Notamacropus eugenii: one gene and its partner. The protein of the gene in region 1 purifies or fractionates together with the protein of each later gene. This does not show direct contact. Links are inferred from orthologs where the notes say so. Each region holds a gene or a part of one and is shown in the gene's direction. Other genes may lie near its edges.

The links. The genes of interacting proteins can lie anywhere in the genome.
Region 2: the proteins of WWP2 (region 1) and LDLRAD4 purify together in Homo sapiens (affinity purification with mass spectrometry; 3 studies listed by BioGRID and IntAct, counting the BioPlex papers as one, with this or other methods). This does not show direct contact. The link is inferred for Notamacropus eugenii from reciprocal best matches to the Homo sapiens genes WWP2 and LDLRAD4.

The regions. Positions count from the first base shown.
Region 1 is NC_092872.1:709,227,451-709,235,227, forward strand, and holds the start of WWP2 (NEDD4-like E3 ubiquitin-protein ligase WWP2), read left to right. Parts: upstream 1-4,761; 5' UTR 4,762-5,602; coding exon 5,603-5,647; intron 5,648-7,777. UniProt on the Homo sapiens protein: E3 ubiquitin-protein ligase which accepts ubiquitin from an E2 ubiquitin-conjugating enzyme in the form of a thioester and then directly transfers the ubiquitin to targeted substrates.
Region 2 is NC_092875.1:229,126,648-229,133,773, reverse strand, and holds the start of LDLRAD4 (low-density lipoprotein receptor class A domain-containing protein 4), read left to right. Parts: upstream 1-4,117; 5' UTR 4,118-4,395; exon of another isoform or gene 4,396-5,120; intron 5,121-5,268; exon of another isoform or gene 5,269-5,895; intron 5,896-7,126. UniProt on the Homo sapiens protein: Functions as a negative regulator of TGF-beta signaling and thereby probably plays a role in cell proliferation, differentiation, apoptosis, motility, extracellular matrix production and immunosuppression.

The DNA.
Region 1 (7,777 bases):
CACTTTGCTACCTCACAACCCTCTGCAGTAAAAGAAGCAGGGGTAAAGAAAACTGAAGTTATCAATTTAGATTGAGGGGAAGGCATTTTGGGGCAGGAGGAGGAAGAGGCAGCTAGGTGGACCCATAGGGCATAGAGCACCAGTGCAGGAGTCAGGAGGACCTGAGTTCAAATCTCACTTCAGACACTTGACACTCACTAGCTGTGTGATCTTGGGCAAGTCACTTAACCCCAATTGCCTCATCCGGGGTCATCTCCAGTCATCCTGATGAATATCTGGTCACTGGATTCCGATGGCTCTGGAGGAGAAGTGAGGCTGGTGACCTGCACAGCCCTCCCTCACTCAAAACAAAGTCAAGTACAAGTCATGTCATTATTTCTCTCATGGCATGGTGTTCTTTGGCATCAAAGGATGAACATACCTAGTACTGGTATTGCTGGATCAAAGGGTATATGCAGTTTGATTGCCCTTTGGGCATAGTTCCAAATTGCTCTCCAGAATGGTTGGATCAGTTCACAACTCCACCAACAGTGCGTTAGTGTTCCAATTTTTCCAGAATCCAATATTTTCCTTTTTTGTCGTCTTAGCCACTCTGATAGGTGTGAAGTGGTACCCTTGGAGTTGTTATGATTTACATTCCTCTAATCAATAGTGATTTAGAGCATATTTTCATATGACTATAGATAGCTTTGATTTCTTTGTCTGAAAACTACCTGTTCATATCCTTTGACCATTTATCAATTGGGGAATGACTTGTATTTTTATACATTTGACTCAGCTTTTATATTTATATTTGAGAAATAGGGCCTTTATCAGAGATACCTGTTGCAAAAAAATTTCACTGGTTTTCTGCTTTCCTTATAATTTTGGTTGCATTGATTTTGTTTGTGCAAAAGCTTTAAAATTTCATATAATCAAAATTATCTATTTTACATTTTGTAATGTTCTCTATATCTTCTTTGGTCCTAAAATCTTCCCTTATTCATAAACCTGTCAGATATGCTGTTTAATTTTCTCTTAATTTGTTTGTGGTATCACCCTCTGTGTGTAAATCATGTACCCATTTTGACTTTATCTTGGTATATAGTATGAAATGTTGGTCTATATACCTGGTTTCTGCCACATTGTTTTCCAATTTTCTAGCAGTTTTTATCAAATAATGAATTTTTGTTCCAAAAACTCAGATCTTTGAGTTTATCATATGCTAGGTTACTATGGTCATTTACTATAATGTAATTTGTACCCAATCTATTCCACTGATCTACCATTCTATTTCTTAGTCTGTTTTTGATTGTTTTGATAATTATTGCTTCATAATACAGTTTGAAATCTAGTATGGCTGGACCACTTTATTTTGCATTTTTTTTCATTGATTTCCTTGCTATCCCTGAGCTTTTGTTCTTCCAGATGAGTTTTGTTATTTTTTTCTAGCTTTATAAAATAATTTTTGATCATTTGATTGGTATGGCACTGAATGAATAAGTTAATTTAGGTAGAACTGTCATTTTTATATTGGCTCATGAGCAATTAATATTTTTCCAATTGTTTAGACCAGAATTAAAAATCTGGCCTCAGACACTTACTCGCTATGTGACCCTGGACAAGTCACTTAACTCTGTTTTCCTCAGTTTTCTCATTTGTGAAATGAACTGGAGAAGGAAATGGCAAACCACTCCAATGTCTTTATCAAGAAAACCCTAAAAGAGGTCACGAAAAAGTTGGACATGGGCGAACAACAACAATTGATAAACATTTACTGTATGCCAGGCACCCTACTATGCTCTAGGGATAAAAATGGGAAACAGAAAGTCTGTATACTACAGGAAATCAGAATCTAACTTGGGAAGACAACAAAGGAAACTGACAAGGGGTGGGGCTGGGGGACTGTGAGAGGAGTCCGAAGGAGTATGCAGTCCAGCAGGAAAAGAAGACTTGGCTTGCCTGGTACCCCTTAATTGGAGGGTTTGGGAGGAGCTCTTTGTTTTGCCTTCCAATCAGAACCGAGGAAGTGTGAGTAACAAGGCTGAAGAGATTTTACAGGATGATGTGGTTCCTGGGGTGTGATGAACTAAGTACAAAGGGGTGTGGGAAAAGTCCAGAGTGGTCAGCTGGGAAATGAGTCAGCACATCCCATTGTGCTGTGCACATCCCGTTTAAATCCATGCTAACATGCTAGGTGGATGGAGAGGTTTAAGTCAATGAGATGGGTTGAATGCTGGACTTGGTGTCAAAAAGACCTGAATTCAAATCCTGCCTTAGAGGCTTATTAATGGTGTGACCCTGGGCAAGTCCTGTAACCTCATAAACCTTCACTCTCTTAATCTGTAAATTGAAGGTAATAATAGCATTTGCCTTACAGGGTTATTACATAGATATATGTAAAGCATTTTGCAAACCTTAAGGGACTATAGAACTAAAGTGGCTTTAATCCTGCTCTTGGTCATGCTGCCTGGCAACAGCAGGTATCTGGAAAATTCTGTCCATCATCTTCCTTTTCTTACTTAGTCTAATTTCTGACCACCTATTATAGGCATTCTTTTATTGAACAGTCAAGAAAACTTACGATCACTGTTCCATAGAACTGATAAGTGTTAGAAACATGCTTGACACTGAAAAAGTATGAAGAAAAATGTATTAGAGTTCAGAGGAATTGAACACTTTAGCCAAAGTAGACTCTTCAAAAAGGGGAAGAGAGAGAGATACAGAAGCTAATGCATTTTTATAATGTTAGTGAAGGACAGATTCTCCCACCAGAGGATGGATTGGTCCATTCTCTTTCAGGTCACAATCTTTTGACATGCCCACTGTATGTCATTAAGCAAGCACAGCTGGATTTTTTAGGTTGCCCTACCAGTGACTCCAGCTGGCTTAAGCTGGACCAATTTCCTTCTGAAAGCCGCTAACCGTTTTCTGATTGATCAGGGTCTCCTGCAGTTTTTATTCAGTAACCTTAGGGGCTAACAACCTTTATGGACATTTAACCCCTGCTTTCTCTTGCAAGTTTCTAACTTTTTTCACCTGACCGTGCTAGGTTACAACTAGTCTGACTATTATCACTCAAAGCTGGAAGTTTCTACCCTGTGGAAACAGAACTCTTTCCTTTGTTTCCTACATAAGGAATAATGCTACCTAGCAAGCCTATTCACCCCGACAGAAGGAGGCAACCATGGTACATCTCCAGGAGTAAGTTTTTAGACATGGACACTGTGAAAATGTGTTTTGTTGACCGTGCAGTTTTGCTTTTCCGTCTTTCTTTTCTCAATTCCCCTCTCCCCACTGAGGTAGGAGATGTAGAAAATAAATGCTTGTTAATTGAAAAAAACATATAATTAAAAATCAATAGAACTGCTCATGTGGCTGAAACCTACAGGTGTAATGTTTCCTGCCTCCTCTCACCCCACAGGAAAGGCTCCCCTGGTCCTTTGGATAACCCCCCTCAGCAGCTGGAATCACCCCCAATATGGTGAATGCCTTTGGAAGTGGAACTGTCCCATAAATATGTCTGGTGCCTGTTTTTGTATCCCCAGAACGGAGCACAGTCCCTGGAATGCTGCTTTTTGCTTGTTTCCACTTGTGTCTGAGTCTTCCTGACCCCTTTGGGGAATTTTCTTGGCAAAGCTACTAGAGTGATTTGTTATACTCCTCTCCATCTCATTTTACAGATGCGGAAACTGAGGCAAACAGGGTTAAGTGACTTGACCAGGGTCACGCAGCTAGTAAGTGTCTGAGGCTGGATTTGAACTCAGGTCCTCCTGACTAGAGCACTGTGCCACCTAGTCGCCCCAATACCGGGTAGACAATAAATGTTTATTGGATTGAATTGAATCTGTATCCCCAGCTAGGTACAGTATCAACTGTAAGCGCTTAACAAATTATTTCTCATTCATTCATTCATTCTAGAACTTTCTCCAAGAAAAAGATGCCTCTTGTGGGTCCTGGCACTGGGGATGGAGCCCAGAACATAACAAGGAACCAAACGGAGCTCCTGCCCTCAGGGAGCTTGGACTCTAAAGCGGGCTGCAGCTCGAGTTCAAGGTTAATTCTGAATAAATATAAAGAAACTGGGAAAGGGGCTGGCTCCCCGCAAGCCTCGCCCCCGCCCCGCCCAACTCCTGGCGCCCTCCAGCGCTCTCGGCTTCGCCTGCCCACACTTGTGTGGGCCGGGCTCGCCTCTTCCGGGTCAGGTGACCAACAATGGCCACCTGACCCGGCCCGAGTTCCAGCTGTCGAAGGCGGAAGTAGAAGAGGAGTTCGGCGCCGCTGCTTGGCCTGCTGCAGGTAGGGATCTAGCCTCGGAGCCGGGCCGGGCGGGCGGGCCCCGGGAGGGTCGGGCAGCCCGGGCCGGGGCGGGCCGAGGCTTGGCTGCCGGCTTTTGAGGCGGGGGGAGGCGGCTTCCTGTGGGAGGGGCCTGGGACGGTGGTTCCGGCCTCTGAGGAGGGGTTTGTCTATACACCCACTTTGGGAGGCTCGGGGGGAGGGGAAGGGAGGGGGCGGGAGCGTCCCGCGGAGAGCCGGGGGCAGGGCAGGGCCCGGCGCCGGTGACCTGGGGGCGGGGGCTGGCAAGGGGCTGGCAAGGGGCATCTCTTAAGCGCCTACTGTGTGCCGGGATCCCCGGAAAGGCAAAAAGCGGACAGTCCTCAGGCTGGAGGAGCTGAGAGTGTGAGAAGCCGGGGGCGAAGGTCGTGGGGAGGGAGCCCTGGCTGCTCCTGCTCCGGCCGCTGCCCCCCCCTCCGCTCCCCTCCCCCCTCCCCCCTCCCCCCTCCGCTCCCCTCCCCCTCCCCCTCCGGCAGGGTTCCCTCGGTCCGCTTCATCTTTCCGCGTCTCCTGCCTCCGACGCCCCGGTTTTTCCACTCGTGCCGGCGTCCCCGCTCTCCAGAGATCATCTTTCCTGGCAGCCTCCTTTAGCCCAGCTCACCCTGCAGGCTTCCAGAATAGAATAAATAAAATAGAACCCGGAAGAGCCGTGCGCCCGGCCCGGCCCGGAAGCAGCCCTCGGGTCCCGGCCGTCCCAACTCTACAGGCGGCTTCCTGCTCACGTCCTGCGTTCCCTCTTTATTTTTCTCTTGTGTCCGAGCTGAATTATTGAGTCCAGTCCGGTCCTGCCTGCCTTGGTAACAGATCCGCAGGGCTGAGCCGGAGAGACCTTTGTTCCTGTGGGTAAAGACGGGGACTCAGAGAAGTAGCTTTTCCTTGTCCCCCCGTGCACTTGCTGTATGTAGGATGTCTGTGTGAACGCATAGGTTTACGTGTAAATCCGCATTGATATAGATTTGTATATTCTGTATGCTTCTATAAATTTATGTAAGGTAGCACTCTGCAGTAATTCATTTTAGTTAATTCATTTTAATTAATTTTAAACTCTTACCACTGTCCCCCAGAAGTTTGGATATTCATGATGAAGCCCAAGTGAAAGGCAGTTTTGAAAATAAAATAAGCTTTAATTCTTTTTAAACCAAAATTATTTAAAGGATTTCAGGAAGGAAAGGGTCTAGATTGTAGCTCTACTCTGCCTCCATAAATGGTATTTATGAGTTTCAGTGGTCAGAAACATGGTGACTTTACCTTTAGTGATGAGACTCTACAAAATTAGGTTGAGCCTTGGATGTACAGTCTGTTGAAGTATCTGCATATGAAGTCTTCCAGACAGGTGAGACGTGTAAGAGTGTATTTTCTACTGATGTAGCTTTTAATGAATGAAAAATCACTTGTTAAGCACTTTTTTATGTGTCAGGGTAAGGGGCTTTGGTCCAGAAAGTTACAGGTGAGCCAACCTAAAGATCCCAAGGTCACTTCTGTGCCCCAGATTAAACATGAGAGTAGGTTTTAGAGCTTGTGAGGGCCCTGAAGATCATCTGTAGTCCAGCCATCTCCTTTTACAGATGAGCAAAGGAGGCCCAGAGGGGGGAAAAGATTTGCCCAAGGTCACATAGTCACATAGGCGACTGAGCAAGGATTTGCACTGAGGTGCTCTGTTGCCAAATTTCCCTTTCTGTCCACTCAATAATGCTGCAGTTTTGTGGAAGATTACAAGCCTTAAATAGGAACTAAAATCCTACAAAATGCACATAATGTTTTGTAATATTTTGGGGTTGGAAAATTATTGCTTCAATTCCTTTTATGGGAGAAAAACTCAGTACTTTGCACCTATCAGAGTCAATTTCGTGATTACTTTGAAGTATTGTAAAAAGAGGGCTTTGAATACCTTTCATGTTTTTTTCTCAAATGCATATAGGTCCCTACTCCAGCTTGCTTTTGGTTTAGAACAAGACTGAGTGTCTCAAAACAGTAGACATCTCTTTATAAATAAGAGACAGAGGTAGTCATATTCCTAGCTCTTCCTCAGCGCCCTTTTGTGTCCTCTATGTGGTTGCTTCATTTTTAGTTTAAATGCCTATTTAAACTTATCTACTTTATTTACCTCCGTTTTGTGGCTTTGTTACCAAAATTTGAAAACATGAAATTGGCATGTTGAAATCTGTCACTGACCAGAAGATTCATGGTGGGCCTAGGCATAGTTGTTGGCAAGTAGTAGAAATAGCAGTAATGCTTCTAGTCTCATTTAATTCCCAAAACATCCAATGGCATAGGCAGGGCGGTTGGCGTTCCCATTTTGAGGTGAGTAAACCTAGAATCAGAAGGACTTGGCCAGGGTCCTTTGGCAAGTGACAGTGAAATTGAGAATCCAGATCTTTTGATTGTTTACTCCTTTGCCCCAAACATAGTTAGACAAGGTTATCTATTTTTGGGCACCAGTTCTAAGTTATTACTTCATTATTTCCAAGGAAAGGGGAGGGGAAACTTTAGCTATCATTAGTAGCTCTTTGTTTCCTGGAGGAAACACTATGCATCTTAAAGAGTCTATTCTGCTAGATGTTAAATTTTCAAGCCAAACAACTTTATTCTGTGTTACAACACGTTGTTTAATTTCCAATTGAAGTTTATTAAAAGTTAGTTTAGTACTTCTGGAAATTTTATATCCCAGCATGTTGTCTTTGATGATGGGATTGGGGATGGGGGTAAGGGTGGCTCGGGATAACCATCTGCCAGGCACTATGCTAAACTCTTTACAAATTTTATCTCACTTAATCCTCACAACCACCTGGGAGGTAGACGCTGTTATTATTGCCTCTGTATCTAGGGAACAGACAGAGGTTATGTGATTTGCCCAGGGTCACACAGTTGAGAACTGTTTGAGATTGGCTTTGAACTTAAGGTTTCCTGAGTTTCAGGCCCAGTGCCTGGTCTACTGGTCTTTTACACACAGTTGGTGCCTTTTAAATAGTTGTTGAATTGAAAGAGATTGATTTTAATTGGATTTGTTCTTTATTTAGGGAGTCCTTAAGAAACTTGGAAGTTTCTCCTGAAAAGTCTTGAGCTGTTTTGGTAGGAAGGCTGTCCCTCCCTGGGTGCCGTCTGGCCTACAGAGAAAGATTTCAATAGTGGCTTGTGGGCTTTGGGGTGTCAGGAGGGTGTTTGTAGGAGTAGTGTTACTTATGACCACAATCGTAGGAAGTAATAGATAAAGTTGTTTTCAAGGATCTTTGGAGTAGGTTTTGTTTTGTTTTTCCTATACAGATTCCGGAATTTCTTTGAGGTTCAGGAAAATGGAAAATCTGCTCATAGAATTGAAAGTGGGCTAATCTCACTATTCCACACATTTGCTTTGGCTGTCCCCCATCCCTGGAATGCTATCCCTGCTCACCTCAACCTTGTAGCTTCTCTGACTTCATTCCAGACGCAACTCAAAGCCCAGCCTCCCCCCTTTCCTCCTGTGCCC
Region 2 (7,126 bases), on another chromosome or scaffold:
TTGTATTGTGGCATCTCTCTCTTTTTCCTTTAACTTCATCCATAGGATAACAGAATCATAGAAGCTTAAAGTTGGAATAAATGATCCAGTCCAAAACATGTGACCAAGAATCCTCTACAACTAATCTGAGTGCTCATCCAGCCTCTTCTTGGAGACATTTGGCAAAGGAGACAATCCATTTCCCTTTTGGATAGCCATAATTGTTAGGAAGTTTTTCTCTCTGTCAAGCCTCAATCTGCATCTATGAAGATTTTAACTTGTGCTCCTGATTCTGTTAATAGTAAGCAAGTAGAGCATGACAAATCACTCCTCCATAGGATAGGTCTTCATATATTTGAAGATTGCTATCATGTCTTCTCTTTGCTAAGAAGATGGCTAAGTCTTCTCTTTTCCAGGCTAAATTTCTACAGTTCCCTCAACTCATCCTTATATATGTCAGGGTCATGGTATTCAGTCATCATTGAGTAAATCAATGAAACTACTCACCCCATTTAAAATATGTGGTAAGATACTAAGCTCTGATACTTTTATTGGGTAAGAACACATCTTAATTGTTCACTAAATATGAACAATTGTCTGATGGTGGGAGAGAGAGCCTCCTTTAAGGAGGAATTACTAGGGAGAGAAGAGAGTGCCTTGGCCCTGGTCTAGGACTCCCTTCCAATATGGTCCGAAGAGAACCTAAGGAACATTGAAATATCAAGGGGACATAACTTAGTTCCTCAGCCAATTGGAACAGACTTCCTTTTGCCCCCAGAGCAAGGGCCCAGGACTTATTCACACAGTGAATTATGGAGATGTGTTCTCATTTGATCAGGGCATAGCATTTTATCACTCTAAGTGGGGTAATTGTCTAAGCCGAACCCCATTCCTTTACAATAACATACTGAAATGGGAAAAAAAACGTGAAATGGAAAAAGTGGCTGAAACGAAATGCAAAATTGTACAAAGCAAGGAAAGATGGTTTTGGAGTTAGAGGACTTCAGTTGGAATCTTGGAATCCTGGCTCTTGAACTAATTAGCTTTTTGACCTTGAGTAAGTTATTTCCCCTTTGTGGGTTGTTAGATTCCTCATCTATAAAATAAGGAGGTTGGAGTAGGTGACCTCAAGGATCCTTTTAGCTCTAAGTCTATGATCCTGAAGTTGACATGAATTTTGAATGCTTTACACCCAACTTAATATTATTTTCTCACAGATGTCCTTTATTATGTTGGCTCCAATATAACTAGAGTATAACTTAAGCACATTAATTTCCAATAAATGTTGCATAATTATGGCTACAGAAAAATTACAATGACAGTATAGAAGACACTACAGAGGGCTGAATGAAACACTTCCAACTCTTGGCCCTCCATAAGTTTGGCACATAATTACTTCCTTCACTTTAGCCTGCAGTTACCCTTCTTTCCTATTAGTTCGGCTGCCTAGAGAGACAGTGGGGGAAGGGTAGCTGAAATTCAAGGCAGGTATTGTACCATCTTTGCCCAAGGAGAATGGGAATACAGGGAAGTCAGGTCATGTTCCTTCCTAGAAAGAGTTTGGAGTTTCAGATACTTAATTTGAAAAGACAATACAAGATTAATTGATTCATTATATTAATTATGAGATTGAGACCAGATTGTACCCTTAATTCAAAGGAATGAATTTCTTGTAATGGAGGTATTATGGTTACAATGCCTGGGTTTGGTGCTTTGGTCAAGTTGGTACTTTGGTACTCTTTGTACCTGCCATAGGCAGTGGTGGTTGTTTAGGGGGAGGGTGTTCTGCCTTTCTGCCCACAATGGCAATGGCATATTCTTTTCTTGATTCCATGACTGAATGCACTGGAAGATCTAATACACTAAATACCAGTCATTAGTTTATATTGTGATTATGTGGAATGGGTATTTGACCAGTGATCACAAGATCTGTGTTTTAGTCCCAGGCTGTCACTGGGAGACCTTAGGCATTGTTATCAAACATCAGTTTTGTCATCTATAAGAGCACTTCTTAAACTGTGGGATATAGGGGCGAGACCCCCCAGTTTAATAAGTGCTGAAGGGGCCAAGAGCAGAAAAAAAGTTTAAGAAGCCCTGATCTATAAGATCTGTAAGTCTACCTGACATGATTGTTACATGAAGATAATGGGATAATGTCTACAAAAACATTTTGTACAAAGCCATGCAAATATTAGGAATAGTAGGTACCATTTGCTGAATTGAATTATTATGGAGTAGTAATCAGGATGACCTAATGGGTTAATGGAACTACACAAGTTTTTTAAAAGCACTCCAAAATACACCCTTTATAGTTCTTAATTGGATATAAAAATGTAATTTTACTAATAAGACTTGCTTTTCTGATACAGTGGAGAGACCACTGGACTTGATGTCAGGAAGATATGAGTTTAATTGTATCTCAGATACTTACCAGCTGTTTGACCCAGGTTAAGCCACTGAACTTCTCTCAGACTCAACTTCCTCCTCATTTGTCAAATGGAGATAATAACAGCACCTATCACAGGGTTTTGGTGAGGATGAAATGAGAAAATATGTGGAAAACCTTGCCCTTCCTTGGGAATTGGCCTGGAGTCAGATTAAGTCATTTTTAGTTATCTAGCTTTTTTTTTTTTTTTGTAGTGGTTGGGGGGGGGGGGTCAGGGAAGGGAGGAGGTCATCAGTTTTAATTATTCATATAATTTCTAACTTCTACTTTCCTTTATTGGTGAAGACATGGCCCTAGAAATAGTAGTATTACAAGACCAAGAGTAATTACATTACATAAGCAGATTTATCTGAGCATTGTTTGTAGATGGGAAGTTCTCACCTCTCCAAATAGGTTGGAGCTAGGGGTTTGCTCCCCCCTTCCTACTTTCCTTGTTCTAACCCCTTTGAGAAGTGAAGTTTGAATTAGTTTATTTGGAGACTCTGTTTCGGTTACTTACTGGGACTCCGATTTCTTTTTCATCCAGTTTTGGCGACTGGATACAACCCTGAACTTTCATTGAGAGTTGAGATTTGTAGAGTCTTGTCTACCGTAACCATTCATTTTTGACGTAGTCTTCTTTAGCTTGGTTTACCAGAACTTAAAACTTCATCCAATTTGGAGATCCAGAAGAACAAAATTGGCTTAAAACGTCCAATTGATTCCGGCACAAACTAAAGGAAATCAAGTTGAATAGCCTGTTTTGGTGTTGTTTTTTTTAAAAACCAGGTTCAGTTAGTTATACCACCACTATATTGAGAGGCTAGTCTCCCTGATACAAATGAAACCCAAGTCAGAAACAGCTTGAAAGACCAAGTGCCATTTAACTCTTTCAAGCAGCTAAGTTTCTAGGAAAAGAGTATTAACTCTAGTATTAACTAGGAAAAAAGTATTAACTTTTTCTCATTTCTCTGATGGGGAAAGGGAGCCTGTCAGAAGCTTTATACCGCTGAAGAAACTTACGATCAGCTCTGGGAGTGGACTTTCAGTCTGTGCAGACATTTATCTGATTAACTCGTTCAGCGGACACATCCCAAACAAGGATGAGCGCTTTGCAAACTTTAAAACATTTGTATACATTTCAGTTATTACTGTTACTCTGATACCCGAATTAGTTCAAGTTGTGTGGGTGGGCGCGGATTGCCTCAGGTTTAAAATAGGGGCGGAATTCAGTAGACCGATCCACCTCTGGGTTCCTGTGGTTGTGTGCACCTCTCCTTAGTCTGCCTCCCCCTTCTCCCAGCCCTTCCCCGGGCATTCGTTATTCAAGAGCATTAGCGCAAAATGATGAAATAAAGTAATGCCTATCAGAGAGGGGAGGCTAAGAAATAATCACGAATACGGGGCTGCCAAAGGAAGAATCCGTTCTGCTTAGGTTGCAGTCACTGTGAAAGACCCAATCGAAAGATACTTCCTCCCCCAGATTTTGCAGTCTCAAAGAAGTCTCCCCAGTCCCTCCCTAGTTCTTGCTTTGAACTTGAGTCCCTCTCCTTCCTTGTCTTCTCCTCTCCTCTCTCCTCTCAGCCCGGCAGATGTCAGTGTAGCCTAGGACTCGCGACCACAGCGGGCTGGGCTGGAAGCTTCCTCCACACCCCCCCCCCCCCCGCCCCGACTTTGCTCCCCTCCTCCCCCCTGCCCCCCCTGCCCCAAATCCGCCTCCCTTCTCCTCCTCCCTCCCCCCTTCTCCTTTCCCCTTCTCCCCTTGCCTGTCACCGACTAGCTACAGACGGAGGAGGAGGAAGAGGAGGAGGAGGAGGAGAGACTGGGAATGAGTTGGAGACAGACACAGCCCTCCGCGCACACAGATACGCTGCTGGAGACAGACAGGGGGAGGCGGCGGCGGCAGGAGGAGGAGGAAGAGGAGGAGGAGGAGGAAGAAAAAGAGGAGGAGGAGGAGAAGAGGAGGAGGAGAGGAGGAGGAAGAGCAGGAGGTAGGACACTTTGCATCAGGCAGCAGCGGCGGCAGCAGCAGCGGCAGCCTCCCTCCCTCCGCCACCTTCCCCGACCCCTTCCCCGCATCTCCCCCGCCTCCCTTGGCCCAGCCCGGGGAGGGGGTCGCTGCTGCAGGCAGGGGCAGCCGCGGGGCTCCGGGAAGGAGGCGAGTGCAGCCACTGCCGCGTTCGTTCTCCCTCCCTCCCTCCTTCTTTCCCTCCCTCCTTCTCTCCTCCGCTCCTCTCTTGCTCCGGAGTTCCCGCCGGGGTGCCAGGAGTGGAGATGCAGCCGTGGCGGCCGCAGCTCCCCAGCCCCGGCCGGGGAATCCCAGAGAGCCGGGGAGGAGCCGCAGTCCCCGCCGCCGCCGCCGCCGCCAGACAGACTGAAAGTCCCTGGGAAAGTGAAAGGGGGAGGGGGAGGGAGGCCCAAGTTTAAGGTCTCCGACTCTTAAAGAGACAAGACACTTCAGTCTTAGTGCGTCCCCAGCGGTCAGCTCCGGCCCTCCGGCCCTCCCACGCCTCTTCTCTGGGTTTGCACGCCCCGGGGGCATCTCTCCCCAGCACACCCGCCCCTGGCTCTCGGGCCGGGAAAGCTGCGGCTCTGGCGCGGCCCCTTCCTGACTGTCTGGCCCGGGTTGTGCCTGTCTGCAGCCCTCCCCTCTCCACTCCCCCGCCTCCGTCTCCCCACCGGTCCTCGGTCCTTAAGAGGGAGGGGGCGGCTGCAGGTGAGTGAGGCTGGGAGCTCCCTTCGGGGAGCGGGGACTGTAGGGGTCTGGCTAGGGCTCAGACGTCTGGCCCCAAGTTCAGCCATCGAATCCAGCAGGGGTGGGGGTGGGAAACAGGGACAGGACAATGCTGGGAACTGGATGAGGGGACATCCAGGGGGTTGAGCCGGACCTATGGGAACTTCCAGGGTGCGAGGTGGGGGTGCAGGTGCTGGTCTCGGGTAAGAGAGGAACGGAGTCGCCACCGCCGCCCTTCCTCTGTGCTCGCCTCTGCCTGCGAGTCCTCTCTCCCTGGAGACTGGAAGTGCACACAGTCTGTCTGGCTGTCTGTGCGACGGGGTGGGGACCGGACCGGGATGGTGCAGGAGTGGAGGAAGCTGCCTTAGGTCGTGGGGTTTTCCCCGATCCAGTTGCAAAGGTGAATGGGATTGCACCTTGCAATGCCAGCCACTGCAAGCCTTATTTTTGCTGGTCTGCCTTGGGCATCGTTGTTTTTGCAGAAAATTATTCTCCCTACCATTACTCCAGATAATTAGTCGGTTCCCTTTGTACGGTGCCTAGTGTCGCTCTTGTGAGCACCGTTGTGCTTGCTAACTGCAGTAGAAAGAGTTAATTTTGCACAGCACAGAGTGCAGCTGCGGTAGTAGGAGCCAAGAGTTCATCCGGCTTTGGCCCCAGGTAGACCAAGTCAAGTCGGTTCTGATTTTGACCGGTAGAGAAAGCCCTGCATATCCAGGACCATGCAGAGAAGTTTTTCAGGGGAAAAATGAGGAAGGTGAGAAGGATGTCTGAAAGACACCCACATGCAAACCCAACCCTAATCAACCACAAAACAAACCCAGTTTATAATCTCAGATACTGTTGTTATGGTTATCTTAGTTCAAATCTAGGTTTTCTTACCTGTCTTATCTATGACTGATCAGTCTTGCATCAGTTGATGTGAACAAGGTTGTCAGAAGCTCCTTATGTTGGCTAGGAAGTCTATTACCTTGTGTTAGACTGTTTTTACACTTAATCTGTGTTTTGCCGAGGAGACTTAGGGGAAACTGGCATGCTGAATTTCTCTTTGACCCTCACCCTGGAATAAACAGGAAACAATGAATATCCAACAAAAAAATCAAAGAACTTCCCTTTGTTTTGAGGTTGGATACAAGACATCTGTGAGGAGGCATTTCTAGAGATTTTTGAACTGTAATTTATAATGTCTGAGGTTTATTTATGAGGTTTCTTCTGTATGTATAATCAGTGATGACTCTGGAGGACAGTGGGCTCTTTATAGCTTAATGTAGTATGGTGGTGGAAAGGGCCTTTGTCTATTTTAAAATGTTTTTAACAGGGGAGAAAAGGTGACATTCTTTATTAGGAAAAAAAAAGAAACCTCAAACTTTTGCTAGAATAGATTCTCCATGAGAATGAAGGGGTTGGGGAGATGGGAAGACCCCATCCAGCAGACATGTAAATCAGCGTCCTGTTTCCCAGACTACCGGTCTTGCACCTTTCAACAGGAAGGCAAAGCAGGGGACCTTTGTCAGCTGACCCTTTCAAGGCAAACATAGCTTCTGGGAAGGCTGACCGTTATACAGTGATAGTTTGGGTGGCAAGTATATTTCATGTTTGTTTAATTATTTTAAACTAATATAATGTATTTCTTAAGAGCTTTTTAGTTTGGGAAAATTTCATGGTTTTTGCTTTATTCCTCACACCTTTTTCCTGTTTCCTCAGTTATTTTAACTTATTCTTAATCTGAAACAGTGATTCACTAATAATTTAGGATTGCTTCTTAGATAGTCATTCATTCATTCCATAAATATTCATTAAATGCATACTATGGGCAAGACATTGTGCTAGGCACTGTGAACTGATATGTTACGTTGACATTCCCTGTGAGATATTAGTAGTTAACTAAGTTAGGGGTATAGAATGTTAATCAATAGTGCTGGCCCATAAAAATATGGATACCCTGGTGCTTTTCCTGGAGGGTAATGATGGGGAGTTTCCTTTTGAAA